Danio rerio: one gene and its partner. The protein of the gene in region 1 interacts with the protein of each later gene in a biochemical or structural test. Links are inferred from orthologs where the notes say so. Each region holds a gene or a part of one and is shown in the gene's direction. Other genes may lie near its edges.

The links.
Region 2: the proteins of upf2 (region 1) and upf3a form a complex in vitro, tested with the Homo sapiens proteins (2 studies listed by IntAct, with this or other methods). The link is inferred for Danio rerio from reciprocal best matches to the Homo sapiens genes UPF2 and UPF3A.

Annotation. Positions count from the first base shown.
Region 1 is NC_133179.1:1,384,280-1,388,789, reverse strand, and holds the start of upf2 (regulator of nonsense transcripts 2), read left to right. Parts: upstream 1-1,461; 5' UTR 1,462-1,539; coding exon 1,540-1,544; exon of another isoform or gene 1,545-1,799; intron 1,800-1,892; exon of another isoform or gene 1,893-2,030; intron 2,031-4,510. UniProt on the Homo sapiens protein: Involved in nonsense-mediated decay (NMD) of mRNAs containing premature stop codons by associating with the nuclear exon junction complex (EJC).
Region 2 is NC_133184.1:36,604,233-36,608,811, reverse strand, and holds the start of upf3a (regulator of nonsense transcripts 3A), read left to right. Parts: upstream 1-1,460; 5' UTR 1,461-1,503; coding exon 1,504-1,635; intron 1,636-3,698; coding exon 3,699-3,805; intron 3,806-3,899; coding exon 3,900-4,006; intron 4,007-4,146; coding exon 4,147-4,245; intron 4,246-4,579. UniProt on the Homo sapiens protein: Involved in nonsense-mediated decay (NMD) of mRNAs containing premature stop codons by associating with the nuclear exon junction complex (EJC) and serving as link between the EJC core and NMD machinery.

The DNA of each region.
Region 1 (4,510 bases):
TATGTTGTGGTGATTCTACAGTTGCTATAGTAACACAACAACTATAGTCAATATTATGTTTTGCTGATTCTATAGTCGCTATGGTAACAGAACAACTATGGTAATTAATATGTTGTGGTGATTCTACAGTTGCTATGGTAACACAACTAATGTCAATATCTTGTGTTGGTTCTACAGTTGCTATGGTAACACATTTGACATGCTACGACGAAGTGCTATGCAGGTAAACCTCACTCCTCTGTCCTCAAAAGGTGCTCTAGCGACAGACGCTAGAGGCCAGCATCTTTAGCCTCCTTGTTAGAGCAACCGACTCTAATACAAGGAATCAACAGTTCGATCTCAGCTCAGACCAGGTGGGTGCAGTAGGATCGGTGGGTTACATGTGGGGGCTCGTCTGGGATGGGAGTGAGGTTTAGAGGTGTGAGTGTGACAGGCCAGCTAGCGAAATGCTATGCAGGTAAACTTCACTGCTCTGACCTCTGTAACCGGTGGGTTACACAATAACTATAGTTATTAATATATTGTGGTGATTTTATAGTTGCTATGGTAACGCAACAACTAGTAATATAAACAAACAACCCAATACTGTAGTTTTCCACAACTAGAATATATACTCCAACACACCACTGTTCACAGTAGTAAAATTGAAGGTATACTACAGCATTTATTATCAGTTCACTATAGTTAATGCTGCAGTATGCTGGAGCATTCATTAAGAGTTGTAGATACTATAATATATACAGTATAATACACTCTACTGTAGTGGCCTATGGTACAAAAACACTGCAGTGTTGTGTAATGTTTCAATAGCGCCATCTGCAGGCCACAAATATGATAACAGCTAAAGTATTGATCTATAAAATACGATTATTACATACACAACTATGACAAAATATAGGGGACATGACTGACCACTGAATAATTCTGCGTTTTTCTGGATGTGCTATATCTATTTTTGAGTAAAATTTGTTAATTGTATGTTTGTAAATGTATGTTTTTCTTTTTTAAAGGTCTGAAAACGTGTATTATTAATTTCAAATAAATAACATTGTCAGTTAAATATAGTTTCTTTTCCCAGAGAATTGCAATCAGGGTTATCGCACCAAATAAAATGAAATATTGAGTTCTTAACTGTTTTGGAGTTAAAACATCAGTAGCTTGCTGTTTAAAGATGAATATAAACGTCTATAAAGTTACATGATTTGGTCATTTTGACTAATGGTCTTTATAATGTAACGTATTTAACAGCATTTTATATATTTGGGAAAAATCAATAATACTTATCAATATAACTACAGAATATCTGAAAGCTTGCTCTTTACTTACCGTAACAGTATAAAATGAACTTGACAGTCATGAGGGTTTGCATATTAGTTTATTTATTAGTATGTGTTTATCTGAGTTTATTATTGTTTCATCTGGTGGGCGAGTAATATTTTGATCAGGCACGTTTGGGGCTCCACATTCAGGGGTCCTCATATCGAAAAGTATCAACCGCCGTCATTTACAGTTTAAACTTATGAATATTAGAACAAACACATGAGGTAAGCTCGATATTTGATATTAAACACATCTGTTTTTACATGAGTTGCAGAAAAGTATTCTGTTTAAGTCATTTCTGCTGTTCACGCGACAAGCGTGCTCATGCTTAATTTACGAGCGGACTTACGGGAGCTAACGGCTAAAGCTAATCCAAACACTCGGTTAAAACATCAAATCGCTACGGTAAAATGGTTAGAATTGGGCTTTAAATGAGCTGCTTATCAGCAAGTGACTTTCTATTGAGATGTCAGAGGCAGGTAATGTAAATATTGTTTGTTTTTGTGGGTTTTATTATGCAGCTGTTGCTGTTTGTTTTCATGTCGTGGGTTGGTCTGTTTGTTTGTTGATAGGCGTTATTATATCACACACTGCGCACGGCATCCGCAGCTGAGATCAAGAGGTGCATGAGTTCATTTCTATGAATTTTGCACTCTGAAAGAACTGAAATCCTGGATGTGAGCCGTTGATGTTTCTGATATACCCTCAAGGTATTCAGTTCTGCTCATGAAAATGCATCTTCATGAGGAGTTTAGTGTTCGTGCGTCATTATCTGATCTCACTCACACCTAAAGCCTGATATTGAGGTACAGTTGGTTATACGTTACCACATTTAGACTTTCTCAACATAATTTCAGAAAATGCTAAATAGGGAAATCATATTAGTAGACAATGTACATTGTTCCCAGTCAATATGCAAGTCATACTTGCATGTTATTTTTGACCCAATTTTCAAAGTAGTGTGGTAAACCTTATACAGATCATGTCACAAGTTGTCACTGTTCAAAAATAAACAAATGTGCGAATATTAAAACAGCTCAATCCTGATGTTGAAGTAAAGTTTGTTTTATATTTGCTCCTTTGGACTTTCTCCCTATTAATAAGAGTTAAAGTACTAGTAAAATATCTCCTTGATGTGTCAGAAGTATTCTTTGCTAATTCTAAATCACGCAGCATCCCCAGCTGAGTTAAAGGTACCTGAGTTTGTTTTGTGTTAGTTTTGCGTGCTGGAAGAACTGAAAGCAGCAGTTCTCCTGAATATGAGCTGTTGATGTTCTTGAAGTAACCAGAAGGTGTTCATTTCTGCTCATGAACAGGCATCTTCATGCAGAGTTTAGTGTTAATGCGTGATTATATAATTTTACACACGCCTGAAGCTTGATATTAAGGTAAAGTTAGTTTTACATTCCCACATTAGGAGTTTCTCTTTGATATAATTCCAGAAAAGTATTCTTATCAGTCAATGCCTGTAAAAGTACAGCATTGTTCACTGTTGATTAAATAGTGCTAAAGTTGTTTTGAACTCATACTTGCATTGTATTTCAGCCTGAATATCTAAAAGTAACTTGGTAAACAATACTGAGATCATGTCACAAGTTTTCACTGTTCCAAAATGAACGAATGTGCGAATATGAAAACAGCTCCATCCTGATGCTGAAGTAAAGTTGGTTTTATATTCTCACATGTGGACTTTCTCCTTAATGATGTGTTAAAGTTGTAGTAAAATATCTCTTTAATATGAAAAAATTATTCTTTGCTAAATCTAAATCAGGAAATCATATTACAGCCAATGCTTATCAAAGTACAGCATTGTTCACAGTCAGTTAAATAGTGCTGATGTTGTTTTGAACTCATACTTAATTTGAAGAGGGAATAGTTCTTAACCCGTGTGTGTGTGTGTGTGTGTGTGTGTGTGTGTATATATATATATATATATATATATATATATATATATATATATATATATATATATATATAAACATATTGTATTATATGGTGTTACTGATCATCATGTTTTCTTTTACGAAATAAAATGCACAGAATACAACAGACAAATACAACATCCCATAATGCACAGTGACTGACATTCACTGTGACTTATTGTATCATAAACACTATTTTCATTGCAAAACTAAATGAAACATGCACAGTAATTTTAAGTGTGATTTTTAAATAGAAATGTTGATTAGCATGAAAATATAAAAGAAAGCTACGTGAACTGGTTTTCAGTGTAAAATCATAAGCAATCTGTCCTTTGCAAAACTCGAATCTCAAAATTATAAGTGCAAAATATTTACATACATACATATATATATATATTTATATATATATATAAATTGTGTATATTGTATACAGAATAGTCGTTTTAAATGCACAATTTGAGTAAAAGTGTCAGCTATATTAAAAGCATGCTTTTGTTTTTACATTGCAAAATATATTAGTGCATTTTATTTAATGCTATTTATTTATAGGCACAATTCAAGGCACTCAAAGACACTTTACAGTATTGAACAAAGCATTTGATACAAGTAAACCATTATTTGATGCATTATTTTAATGCAGATTAGATTTTTGAATTAAAACACAGTTGAATGTTTTGTTTACAATATATTTTAATACACTTTATTTTAAAGTGCAAAATGTTTAGTAAAAATGGATGCACAAGACAGCATTAAACTCTGCATTTCAACATGTGATTTTTAAAAATGTGTAAAATGTACCTTGCAATGCAAAACAGTATGTTGTGCACAATATAATTAACGGAATTTTATTTAATGTGAACTCATTTCAGTTGTTTAAAGTGTTCTACGTTGTTTTTTATTTTGTACTTATTGAATGTTACCAAACTCTTCATTTCAAATAACATATTGACTAAAAATATAACATATTAATGTGTTCCCTTACTGGTAACTTTAATATATCTGAAAGGTTTTGTGATTCAAGATGATATGACCTGTTTTTTTTTTTGTTTGTTTGTTTGTTTTTTGTATTTAGATGCACCTCTTGGATATTTCTTTGTTTAGATGTTGTTAAGCCTCTCATGTTAAATGATAATATATGGACTGAACAAATAAGGTGCACTCTGTTTTCTCACTGTTAACTCAGAAAGTCTGGAACAATATATTTTTTATTTTCATGTTTTTTTTTTTAATGCCCTGGTTGTGCTAGGAGAGGCGAAATGTACTGCTTT
Region 2 (4,579 bases), on another chromosome or scaffold:
TATAAACATCACTGGCCTTTAAATGATTCAAATAAAAATATTATCACATACAGCGTTTATTTGCAGAAAATAACTACAGGTTGATATAAAATGTCAGACCTTCGTATTAAAGGGAAAATTCATTCATTAGTTTTATTTTCAGCTTAGTGCCTTTGTTAATCTAGGGTCGCCACAGCGGAATCAATCAACCGCCAACTTATCCAACATATGTTTTATGCAGTGGATACCCTCCCAGCTGCAACCCAACACTGGAAAACATCCATACACACTCATTCACGCACAAACACTATGAACAATTCAGCTTACCAAATTCACCTGTACTGCATGTTTTTGGACTTGTAGGCAAAACCGAAGCACCCGTGAACACGGGGAGAACATGCAAACTCCACACAGAAATGCAAATTGACTTAGCCAAGGCCCGTATCAGTGACCTTTTTGCTGTGAGGCGATTGTGCTACCCACTGCGCCACTGTGACGCCCTAAAGGGGAAATGTATGCATATATATGTAAAATAAATAAATACTTAAGGTCTGAAAACTTTTTTCAGTATGTTGTAGCTGTATTTTAGATAAATAAACTGGTACTTTAGCAATAAGACAGGTGGGTGAGTAAAAACTTGCAGACAAATAAATGGCTGGATATCTATTTAGACTAGCCTGTTTATTAAATCAGATCAGATACTTCTGTATTTTGTTGGACACCTGATAGATACATTGGAATGCTTTTGCATTTGCTATGGGTGGTCTAATACTTTATATAAATGTACTGTGATTTATATACTTTTTACTTTTTTAGGTGAATAGATGGATATAGGCTACATCTGTTTAAATAAATAGATATGTGGATAATACTAAAGTCCCTTTATTCTGTAGTCTTTGATAATACTTTGCAAATGATACTTTTGCTGACCTCCTAATTAGAGTCATATATTTACTGATAGTTCAATGGATAGAGAAATAAATGGATGTAGTTACGTTTGCAGACAGCTTGTGGTGTCGTGTTTTCTGCAGTTCCTGGTCGGGATGGTTACGGGCGCTCCGTGAGTCAGCCCAGCAGCCCGGACATATGGAGCACATCGAGCATCGGGAGCCCGTTCGGTCCCGTTCAACCGAGCTGCACCGACAGCGAATATGAGGACACAAACGGCAGCAAACGATGACAGTTATGGCTGCTGTTTTTATAACTCGCCCACAACGATGAAATGAAGAGAACATACGGGAAAGTTCAATATTGTAATGTTTAACAACATCAGTCCCCTGTGCTTTATCTATTTTCTTTTGTATAAAAACACTAACCACATACATAGTGGCCAAATAACCATATAATATTCAGAGTGTGTACTTATTTTTTGTTAGCACTGCTCCATACGTTTGTTGTTTCTTCGTTTTAATGTTTAACGAATCCTGACAAGAAGATAATAAACACAGCGCAAGCCTCGCGTTATTTTGAGAATTCCCGCGAGAGTTAGCGGATTTCGGACAGCGAAGAGGGCGAAATGGAGATATGAGGTCTGAAAAGGAGCAGAGGACAGGCAGCAGGGAGAGAGGAAGCGTCGAAATCCAGTTCAGGGACTGTCAGGACAACGCCGCTGTGAACCCCAAGCACAAGGAGGAGAAAAAGGAGATCTTCAGCAAGGTAAGGTGGCGCAGTTCTGTGGGCTGGGAGAGTATGGTGATGATGATGATGATGATGGAGGAGGGAATGGGATTCAGCACCACAGACAGCGAAACCACAGGACTGCCAAATACACACGAACATCCTGGTGCTATCATTCATAATAAACACAAACACACTCCTACACTCAATCAGTTAACACTGAATGGGTTTAATCTAGGGATTGATTAAACATGTTATGAAAGTAGCATGTAGCCATGGTGCAATGTGGTAAAATAGACGTTTTTAAGATTAACCTATTGAGCTTGTGCGTGTGTGAATGAGTAATTCTACAATTATTCTTTATTTTTATGTAAGGATTTGTTTTGTAGAACGCTTTTGCAGAATTTTAATAATGTTCTGGTTGTTTTATGTCTATTGCAGATGATGATTAAATGAATTTTATTAATCAATAGCAGGGCCTATATGAACACTCGTCAAGATGAACATGCTATATATATATATATATATATATATATATATATATATATATATATATATATATATATATATATATATATATATATATATGGTAAAAATAGATGGGTTAGTCCATTTATTAATCTAAATTCTTTGGAACACTAATTAGGTTTGTAACACAAAATAAGTGACTCCCACCATACATAGGAAGTGAGTTTCTTCTGCATGTTATTTTATCAACATCACAACTCCACAATATCTATTAAATGAAAAAACACGAAAATTAATGTAATAATAGTAATTACTTGTATGTACTTTTTAATTTAATCGAAGTGAGTCTGACTTAAATAATTTTATAACAAACAACAACAGTCCATTTCTCAGTGTATGTGTTTTTAACATAATGTAATGTGGTATGGCTGAATAATCAAACAGTATTTTAATATTATTATTATAATTATTATTATTTAATTTTTTTCCATTAGTTGTGAGCTGTAGACCTCTTGGTCAGGTCACCCTTGTAAATGAGATTTCGATTTCAATGGTTTTGTTTACCTGGTTAAAAAAAGAATATATATATATATATATATTATATATATATATATATATATATATATATATATATATATATATATATATATATATATATATATATAAACCCCTGTTTATTTTTCCCCCAATTTCTGTTTAACGGAGATCTGATTTTTTTTTCAACACATTTTTAAACATAATAGTTTTAATAACTAATTTCTAATCACTGATTTATTTTATCTTTGCCATGATGAGAGTAAATAATATTTGACTAGATATTTTTCAAGACACTTCTATACAGCTTAAAGTGACATTTAAAGGCTTAACTAGGTTAATTAGGTTAACTAGGCAAGTTAGGGTAATTGGGCAAGTCATTGTTTAATGATAGTTTGTTCTGTAGACTATCGAAAGAATAATATGGCTTCAAGGGGCTAATCATTTTGACCTTAAAATGGTTTTAAAAAAATTTTAAACTGCTTTTGTTGTAGCCGAAATAAAACAAAACTTTCTCCAAAAGAAAAAATATTATCAGACATACTATAAAAATTTCCTTGCTCTGTTAAAAATCATTTGAGAAATATTTAAAAAAGAAAATGAAATTCAAAGGGGGGCTAATAATTTTGACTTCAACTGTATATGCTATACTTAGTTTACTATATACTTAGTTTGTATTCCGAGAGAGCTTTTGAAGGTCAGTAGGCCTACATAAAATGAATAAAATGTAAAAAGTTTTTACACTCACAAAAAATTCTTACATGCCTGTCTGTTTTTTAATAACTAATAAGGTTTCAGTGATATTTTCATATCTGAACAAGAATATTTTTGTTTTTATCTTAAAAATTTGATAATTTTATTTTTAAAAAGTGGTCAGTTTTGTAAACCAGAAATATTATAATTATTTGTTACATATGTCCTGTTGTTAAATAAAATAATAATAATAATAATAATAATAATGCATTATTATTATTACCATATTATCATTATGAAATACTTTATAGTTCATTGATAATATAGTAATATTTCTTCATTTTTTAATAACTTGAATAAGCTTGTTTTCAGTATTATCAGACTTCTTTTATTCTTCTTTTATATAGGTTGTCATCCGCCGACTGCCACCCAGTCTATCAAAAGACCAGCTCCAGGAGCATCTGAGTCCTCTTCCATCTTTTGACTATTTTGAGTTCTTTCCTGCTGATCAGAGGTATGTCCACTTTGTTTATATAGAAATACTATGATCATGAGTGCTGTCAGTGTAATTTACATGTGCATATTTGATATATTTTTATTCTCCCCAGCTTATACCCTCATCTCTTCTCAAGAGCATACATAAACTTCAAAAACCCAGAGGATATCATAATATTCAGAGATCGCTTTGATGGCTATGTATTTATTGACAATAAAGGTGATTTGCTTTCTGCTTTTTTTCTATGTATCCTCATTGAATCTAATATTTTCTGACTATAACTTTAGGATATTTACTTTTTATTATGACATATGATATAATAGATTAGTATAACATTTATTTTACTTCTGTTTATTTAGGTCAAGAATATCCAGCTGTTGTAGAATTTGCCCCATTTCAGAAGGTTTCCAAGAAAAAGCTAAAGAAGAAAGATGCGAAAGCTGGGACCATTGAAGAAGGCATCTTAAAAAAGATTTCTTAATATTTATAATTTTGAAGTATTCAAGAATTGACGTCATTGTGTAAATTACAGTTGATGTCAGAATTAACAACCCCCTTCAAATTTTTTTCTTCTTTTTGAAATATTTTCCAAATTATGTTTAACAGAGCAAGGGAGTTTTCTCAGTATGTCTGATAATATTTTTTCTTCTGGAAAAAGTTTTTTTTTTATTTAGTCTAGAATAAAAGCAGTTTGAATTTTTTTAAACACCATTTTAGGGACAAAATTATTAGCCCTTTTAAGCTATTTTTTTTCTTGAAAATCTACAGAACAAAGCATTGTTATACAATAAC